Tribolium castaneum: one gene and its partner. The protein of the gene in region 2 binds, or shares a complex with, the protein of the main gene of each other region. Links are inferred from orthologs where the notes say so. Each region holds a gene or a part of one and is shown on either strand. Other genes may lie near its edges.

What was found.
Region 1: the proteins of cacophony A (region 2) and Rbp are in contact, whole or in part, in a crystal structure (PDB 4Z8A), measured with the Drosophila melanogaster proteins. The link is inferred for Tribolium castaneum from reciprocal best matches to the Drosophila melanogaster genes cac and Rbp. Residues at the interface, in NP_001245639.1 of Drosophila melanogaster: Ile1688, Gly1689, Arg1690, Arg1691, Leu1692, Pro1693, Pro1694, Thr1695, Pro1696, Lys1698, Pro1699, Ser1700, Thr1701, Leu1702; in NP_732029.4 of Drosophila melanogaster: Ile1353, Leu1355, Tyr1356, Tyr1358, Leu1363, Pro1365, Asn1366, Val1367, Asp1368, Val1372, Glu1373, Thr1378, Gly1379, Asp1391, Gly1392, Phe1393, Leu1404, Pro1406, Ser1407, Asn1408, Phe1409.

Annotation. Positions count from the first base shown.
Region 1 is NC_087401.1:8,018,035-8,022,469, reverse strand, and holds the start of Rbp (RIMS-binding protein 2), read right to left. Parts: upstream 3,043-4,435; 5' UTR 2,919-3,042; intron 1-2,918.
Region 2 is NC_087400.1:9,233,702-9,238,123, reverse strand, and holds the start of cacophony A, read right to left. Parts: upstream 2,958-4,422; coding exon 2,771-2,957; coding exon of another isoform or gene 2,751-2,770; intron 1-2,750. UniProt on the Drosophila melanogaster protein: Voltage-sensitive calcium channels (VSCC) mediate the entry of calcium ions into excitable cells and are also involved in a variety of calcium-dependent processes, including muscle contraction, neurotransmitter release, gene expression, cell motility, cell division and cell death.

The DNA of each region.
Region 1 (4,435 bases), on a different chromosome or scaffold from region 2:
ATTTAGGGAGATCTGATTTACTTTACGTGAGTGAAGCACAGGTTTGAAGGTTTCATGGTATCTGTACACATAAACAGTAATAACCAGGGTGAAATTATAGACGATCACCGAATTTATTGTTCTGATTCACCAATTTTTCAAACGTGAGAAAATCTTGACATTTTTGACGTACGTTTTTGAATTTTGATGGTGGAGCCATCTGTAGAGTGTATAATCGTTATTGTTGCCCTGTCAAGGTCCGTGTCGCTACTTTAGTATATCTACTGGCTTTGGTTTTAGTAATAGTCGACTTTTACTTAAAACACGCAGGTGTGCCAAAACGCAAAAAGTTGAGTAACTCATTTTTTTTCAAATGGAACACCATATATTTTTTACACGTATCGATAGCATTTTTCATAAGCTTTCTAATGATATGCGGTTTGCATAACAAATTTGAAGTATTTCTTAAAGTGTTTAAAAATAATATTTTTTTTACTTATTTTATTATTAGTTCTTGATGAGCAAAATTCATTTATGTATCAAATAATAATTAGATTACTAATGTAATTAGTCACATTAGTACATACCAAAAAATAAATTACCATTTGACTTATTTTAGGATTCTAGGATAACAAATTTTCTTGTAATAAAATGATTTTTTTCGAAAAATTTTGAAAAATATTTTAAATTTGCTATACCGTCAGAAAGCTTATCAAAAATGCTATCAATACATAAAAAAAACAATGAGTTATTCCACTTTTAGCGTTTTGGCACACTCTGTATATTATCAGCTTGCTTTAACTAAAAGTCATGTATTTGCTAAAACTACAAGGTATTCTAAATTTTTTTGTTGCAAAATTTGCCGGACTTTGGATTGATTTTTCAAAAATTGGTCTTTTCATAACGAAAAGTTCAGTAATTCCAAAAACGGATAAAGATAGACCATAATAGTTACATTATTTTTTGCGTAGATTCCAATTATGCAAAAATATCTAGGGTGTACCATTTAGAAAAATATAACTTTGGTTCACCATCCTGTCCATAATAAAAATATTTTTAGTTTGTGGATTTTAGGTCTATCTATCGGAAAATAAAAACAGCATAGCAATATTTCAATTACCAAAAAATAGACCGATTACACCCCCTGGGCCACGTTGATAAAATTGATATGTTGATAAAATTCACCATAAATTTCGATTACCGTTAAGAAATTATGGTCCTTCCCTTTGAAAAAACTGTTTTTTGAAAACCATTTTGAAAAAAAATCTTACTAGCCTTGAATTTTGGCAATTGACAATTTTGAAAATTCTAAAAGACTTCACAAAATTTTTCAAAGTGTGGACTTCATACTTTATGCATGAGTACTTTTAAAAACTAGAAATTCTTAAAGTCATTGGCAACTTAAAAAACAACTTTATTTTAAATGATAGTACTGCAAGTGCTTACCGTTCTTCTGTATCTGCTCTCTAACTCAAGTTATTTCGAATTAAAGTTGGAGTTATGACGTTGTAACCGCCTATTGAGCATTTGGTCCAATTGTAAGATGTTTTTAAGGCAAAATTTAGAACAGAAATTAGTCAAAAAAGTAGTTAATTTTTGATTTTGTGAAAAATGTGTGAAAAATGTTCAAATATCTGTGAAGTTTTTGACGATTGAGAAGGTTGAGTGATGAAAGGCGGTTGTGACGTCACGATTTCTTTCTTTCGAAGCGATTATTTCACTTATTTCTCCAGGAAATTTTGAAAAAAACCTACTGGCATGGAACGAGCGATATTTTAAATTTCCGTTAAAAAATAGAACTGGCAAAATAAGTTGCCAATGCCTTTAACAAAGATTAGCTAGGTAAGTGTCCAAAATGAGTACATAAAAATGATTATAAATTCGACGGATTAATATTTAATATCTAATATTTTTGACTTTTGTACCCGTTGAAATATTTGATTACAGGATGAGTCTGCTAAGGAATGTTAAAAAATTGCGCTAACTACAGAAAAATTAGATTTATTTATTGTGTATTCAAAGTTTTAAAAAGTATATAAATGGCAGTAAAATCTAAAAAAAATTGCATTATTGTGTTTGTCATTGGATATTGAGTTGATGCACTTCTGACAATAAATCAGGACAATCAAAAATCGTTCAAAAAGTTAGCAAAAAACTGGTGTTTCACTAATTTATTATTTTAAATATCCGCTGATATTTGCCTAATTAACTGTCATGTCGCTATTTTAACGTTCCAATTAAAAAATTGCCACAGTGCAGAATTGTCTAAAAATAAAAATTGGAAATTTAATTTTAATGAATTATTACTTTTTGATATTTGATTTTGCGAATTATCATTAGCACAGAGCTTGCAAAAAGTGGAAAAAGCTGCAAGAATCTGTCGAAGCCTCTCAAGCACTAATCTAATAGATAACTCTTTATCACTCTTAAATTGCTACAACACATGTATCGATTCATGTAATAATAAACCACTTTTAAGCCCATCGCTGATAAAATAGTGTGAAAATAATGTAAAAATCTGGTCGATCAAAAGCCCGTCTTTATTCCGATCCATCAGAACCGACGAACGCCTCTGGAATTTTAATAAGTCGAAAAAATCGACCCACCCTTAATCACACATTAAACCCATCATTACTCCCTTCGAACTAACCATACACAAAAATTTCACATAATTACTTGTCACGCGATTCGTATCGATTTTAAAATTATTTATGCGTTCCGGGGGAATTTCCAAAAAGCTAACCGTCGTCCGCGCTCACCCTTCGCAACGCTTTTGCACCCCTAAAAAGGGGCTAAACTGGGTAATTCCCCCTCGTTTTGCAATTTTTGGAAAATTCCATTTCCAAATTAGCCCGAGAGCGCGACGTAGTCAACAAGGGCAATTTAAATAGGGATTTTCCCGAAGGGTTTAGAAGCAAAAAAATGTGACTAAAACTCACCCCGATTTTTTTAGATGTTTTTAGTGAAAATTTAAGGACGGAGACACTGAACTAGCTACAAATGGCGGCATCACTATATAGGTCACTATTGAATCAATCTGCGCGCGTCTTGCAATTGATTTTGGGGGACCGGAGCAGTGACGTCACGCCGGGGGCGGCGGCATCTGCCGACAAATCTCCGATTTGATTTGATTTTAATAATGGCCAAACATGTACAAAATTTCAGAAATTTTCGTTTTCGAAGTATAGGGCTGGCACCAATCTTGGCACACCCTGTATACTAGGAAACGTTACTCAAAAAAAAATAAGTTTTACTAGTTTTTTTAATATATCGTTTACAATACAAGTAAATAAAAGCAAAAAAAAATGTTCCATAAAGAAAATCAAATCATTGAATTTTTAAATGAGTCTGGTGCCATCTTCCAGTTAGTTTTATAGTAAGTGACAAATTACAGGTCGCTACAGTTTGAGTCTGTCTAGAGATAAAAATGTCACAAGGTTAGGATATAAAACGACGTACCAATAAAACGTTCCCGTTCTCGGTAGTTCCGTTAATGTCGCCAGAGAGCGCAGTTGTTCCATTACCGTCTTAGTTTTCCGAACCATGAATTTGAAAAAATGGACGGTAGCAAACCAAAAAAAAACAAAATTCAGGCAAATAGTGCAATAAATCCTCAATAGTAATACATAAACATAATGCGAAAATCTTATCATAAACTATCTCAATGTCATTAAAATTGCAACACCAAGGACATAGAATTTTTTTATGAAACTTGGCACAAATGGTCGACGTTTAACGAGTCATAATTGATTAAACTTTGAACCATTTTAATTACTTAATAAAATACCAAAGGTCCTTTTAACTCTTATTTATTATTTTTGATAATGTTAGAGCTGTTTCAACCTCAGACACAAATACATAACAGATGGCGTAACGGCCGAAACATAATGAAAAAAATTCTATAAGAGTTAAAAGGACCTTTGGTATTTTATTAATAACTAGCAGTTGGCCACGGCATGTCTACAACCATTTATAAACACAGAAAAACAATGCAAAACTTAGTATAACAAAAAGTAGAAACACATCAGTTTATTGTGAACTTTAAAACCGTGATCCAATGCAAACCCGAGTAAATTTTGCTTTTTTTTTCATAATTGCAAACATACTCATTCCCTGTTTAACCCTCTTGTGGATGTAATTTTCAAAAAGGTCCATATGCCAATTCTCTTGAATATAACTTCAAAAAATGAAGGAGTTTTGCATTTAATTCCATTAGGGGTGGAGTTTCTAAAAATGGTGTAATATACGCCTCTTCCTTTTTAACTGAATATCTAAGATATTAATTGATATGTATAACTTCAACAATAAAGTTTTTTTATATTTACCGAGTGCTCAAAAACCGGCGTACCAACTCAATGGTGTGTGGTAGAGAATTGCTTCTATATGAAGGTAAAAATAGTAAAAAAATTCCTTGCATTAGAGTTATTGATAAATAACGAATTTTAAATAAATGATA
Region 2 (4,422 bases):
TTGATAGCCAAAGGTTCAAAAGGTCATCTGAAGTCTGATTGTCAACTGTCAAATTGCAAGACTACTATCACTTTTTGAAAATGATGATTAAAAAATGATTATACACTGTTTTTTCAAATGGAATAACCCTGTTTTTTCAATGGCAAACAAAAAACATCAATTTTTATGCAAACTTTTATTAACATCTTCTATATCTATTTCTTACAGTTTTTTAAATAATCGCAAAAAACAAAATTTTAGCTCATTATTTTCATTTTTAATCAAGTAAACTTTGGAAAATTACGATAAAATTGTGATATTAATTAAAAAAATATCCTATTTGTTTACTATTTTCATTTAAGAAGTTCAAAACTTAATAAAAGATTCACTGAGTTACTTTACATAATTCACTAAGTTATAATAAACTATAATTAAATATTTTTGTTTTACTGTTTGTTCAATAATGAACGAAATAAAAAATAAAAAAATAATAAATTTTGACAATTCTTAACCATTTTGCAAGGTCTACTTGATAAACTATGAAAATTACGGAGTAAAATTCGTTTTTTGTGATTTTTTCAAAAACAGTAAGAGGTAAATATAAAACGTATTGATAAAAGTCACCGTAAATATCAAAGTTCTTTCGATTGCCGTTAAGAAAATACGGTCGTTTTATTTGAAAAAACTGAGTTATAGCAGTTTTTTGATAACCATTATGTAAAAATTATACTAGCTATTATACTATACTATAGTATATATTAAACTATAGTATGAAATATAATACTATAGTATAATTAATAAACAATAGGCTTTTATTAAGAGACAATTTTACAGTCATTATGATACTCACCATTATGCCGATTAATAAATAACAAAAGCAGCAACTAAAAGGTATATCAAAAACTAAAACCGAAAAAAATTTTGGTGAGATATGCAAGGTGAATCAATTTTTACAATATCTCTAAAACTAATAACACCACAAAATTCTATTAAATATTAGATACCCTATTTTCCTCTATGCCTGAAATATGTTTCAACAATTACTTATAATTTAATTAATTAATTAATTAACTTATTACTATTAAACATATCTGCAAAAAATTGATACACCTTGTGTCATTTGGGAACAAGGAAAGCTTAGGTAAATGTTGTTATGTAATCAAAATCCGTATAAAATTGTGCAAGCTCCAAAAAATAAGCATCGTTGTTTAAGAATAACACTAGAAATCATACAATTTCGAAAAATTAATATTATTATATTTGTAGATATTAATATTTTTTCTACTTTACAAGTAAGTAGAAAGTAGTTACACAAAGAAATTTTTTGTGAAACTCTTTTTAGCAAATTTTTAGAAGTTGTATTGGCAGTATGGCTGGGTGCCATCAGTCATCACTCTAATCTAGTGTATGATCTGTCAACAGTGACAAGTCGTTTATTGATAAAGCCCGAATAATTGAATAATTTGAACAGATTTTGATAAGTTAAACTAAACAAAAACAAACAACAAAAATAGAAAGTAGAAAAAATAGTATAATACACCCGTTTGTGGCACTCGTTCCATTGGAGCACTCTTTCGTCGTGCTCCAAATTCATTGGTACCACAATAAAACGTCTTATAAAACTCGTATAAAAATTGACTATTAATTAATAAATTTTAATTAAAAAAAAAGAAGAAATTGTCTGAAAAAAATCACATACATAGAGAAAAACTTATGAACAAACACTGAATTCGGTTCGACTTTTAGTTTTTGAGATAGTAAAGTATACTTTTAACAAACTCACCCCATACAGAAAAAATCATCGAGCGGAGCGAAACTTTCTTAGAGCTTTGAGAGCCAAAATAAGTTGATACGCCACTATATACACGACGATAAATATTGTCTCTCTACCGAAAATTTTGTCGCTCCTGAACTTAAATTTTTCATTCGTAGATAAACAATCTCTTTATTGTCTTGTATAATAAATAACTCCAAAAAAATTTTGAAGACTCTAATTCACTTCGTGAGACGATTTTGTATATGTATTTTTAAATTCTTATACAAGTGTGATGATCCTGCTGGAACTTCAGGTCTAGTTTTTGAGATATGCGCACATAAATTTTGAAAATTTGTGTATTATGAGGGGATATAATTTTTCAAACTACGTTTATTTACAAATGGTTCGAGTTCATACTTTTTATATAATATAAGTTAAAGTCTATAGTTTTATGCTCATGTTGCGTTTTTCTGAATTTGTTGTGTAATTAAAAAAAAATTCTTAACGCATGTTAATTTGGCAAAAAGTGAACATATCCTCAAAAGTAAATTAAAAAACGAAACGTAGGCATGTCTGATCAACGGTATAACTGTGTGTAACTGCAATGTTGGGAGATTACTGCTGGTGTCTCAAGCAAGAAGATTTTGCCATCCAAAACAGAAAAGTTGAAAACTGTAATTTTTGATCTTATGATTCTGTTGTTTTTTATGTTATGTTATTGTTTTTTAACCCATTTCATATGAGTTATAGCTATTTTCGTGCTATTTCCCGTTATTCAGTGTACCCTTAAAAACAGGACCTGATGGAAAAAAAACTGTACTTATATTCTTGATATAACAGTTATTACAACCACAACCCTTTTTTCTTGCAGTCATCTCTAAAACAGGGTGATTTTTTTAAATAAACCACTCCTTTAAATAATTAAATGCCAAAAAATTTGCCAGAAGGTGCTGGGATTTTCTGATTTGTCTTTCCAATGTGGTTTGTTTTAAAGAATAAAATAATGCTAAAAAACGTGATTTGTAAAAGGATATGGCCACTCGATGATGAAGCGCGTATGTCTACGAATAGGATTCTCCTCGGAGAACAGGAACAACGAGCTGGGCCCCTGCCCTCCTGCCGCGCTGGCTCCACCCATTGTATCAGCTGCGCCCGCCCCCGTCTGCTGCTGCACCGCCTGTGCCGCCGCCTCCTGCGCTGCAGCCAACCTAGAACAAATCATTTTTGCATCATCCAAATTTGAAAAACATACTTCAACTGGGCAATTTTAGCAATAAAAGATAATGATAACTCATCATTTTGAAGCAATTTTTATACTTTGCATTTATAATACGTTTATTAACGTCTATCAGTAGAAGTCGTTTATGGCTCATTAAATAAAGTACAGTACTTTAAACCTTAAAAAAATAGATTAAACGAGTAAAGAGGTATTTTTTTATTTTTGTATTAATTGAGCAAATTTTTTATTAAGGACAGCAGTCCTTGTTAAAAAATAAGATAATTGGAAGAAAGTAGAAATTATATTTAATGAAAAATACAAATTTAGAACTTGTTTTGTAATTTTCTGAACAAGCAAACAATGTTGAAATATGATTTTTTTCTAGTAAACTGACTTTTTTGGCCCTTCGTAAACTGGCCCTATAATTTAACAGAAAAAAAAACAATAATAAAAATAACAAACTTTTTTTAAATATCGTAATATCGATTCCACGTAAAGAATAAGTTAAATCGAACAAAATATACTGAAACATTAAATACCAAACATTTTCTGCCCCTTTTAGCATCAATTATAAATAATACAACAGAAGAAGAAATTATATTATTGCAATTTTTGGTACATATTCAAGATAATATAGGTAAATTGAACTTTTTTTTGTTAAAAAATAAGTTTAGTCAAATGATGAAACATGTAGATAAATACAAATTTGCACCTACAAATGTAGACCCTAATCAGCAGAGTAGTATTTAATTAGTAGTAAAGTAGTATTTATATAACTTTTTTAAAATCTCCAACTTTTTTCATAACTTAACAATTTTTCATAAAACGATTTTACTTTAGATTAAATGAAATCAGACAAAAAAATGTAGTTTTTTTCAGGTTTGTTAACACCTATTTTATTTTTCAAACTTGGGTAGTGCACTCATTGAAAATAAAAAAATTCGGCGCCCATGGTAAAAATATTCATCTGAAAATTTGAAGGTACATAACTACGGAAAACTATAACTTAGTAGACGAAACGTGATATAAAATCGCAGAATTTTCTGAACCCAAAAAAATAGTACGACAGAGTTATACCGTCTCAGCGCCAAATCATTTTAAATTAATTTAAATGCAATCAATTCACTAATTACTAATTACTTGGACAAAATTGTAAAAATGTTGATTTAAAAATATTTAAAATTTTAAATTTGCTCCTCGTCCCATATTTTTCAAGACACTGCAAATACGGTTAAGGTACAGAAAAAAAAATTACAAAAAAAGTTGCAAAAAATTACATTTTCCATAAAAATGTCTGCAACATCTTATTTCTATCTTCAACAGTTCATGTATAAATTTTTCCAATACTTTCCAATACTTGTCTACCTGCAAAATGAAGCAAATCCGTCGCTTAAGCGTCTTTAAACGACTTGGTTGTCTAAATGCTTGAAGAAAAAATAAATAGTCTCACAACTTTATTCGTAGCGTT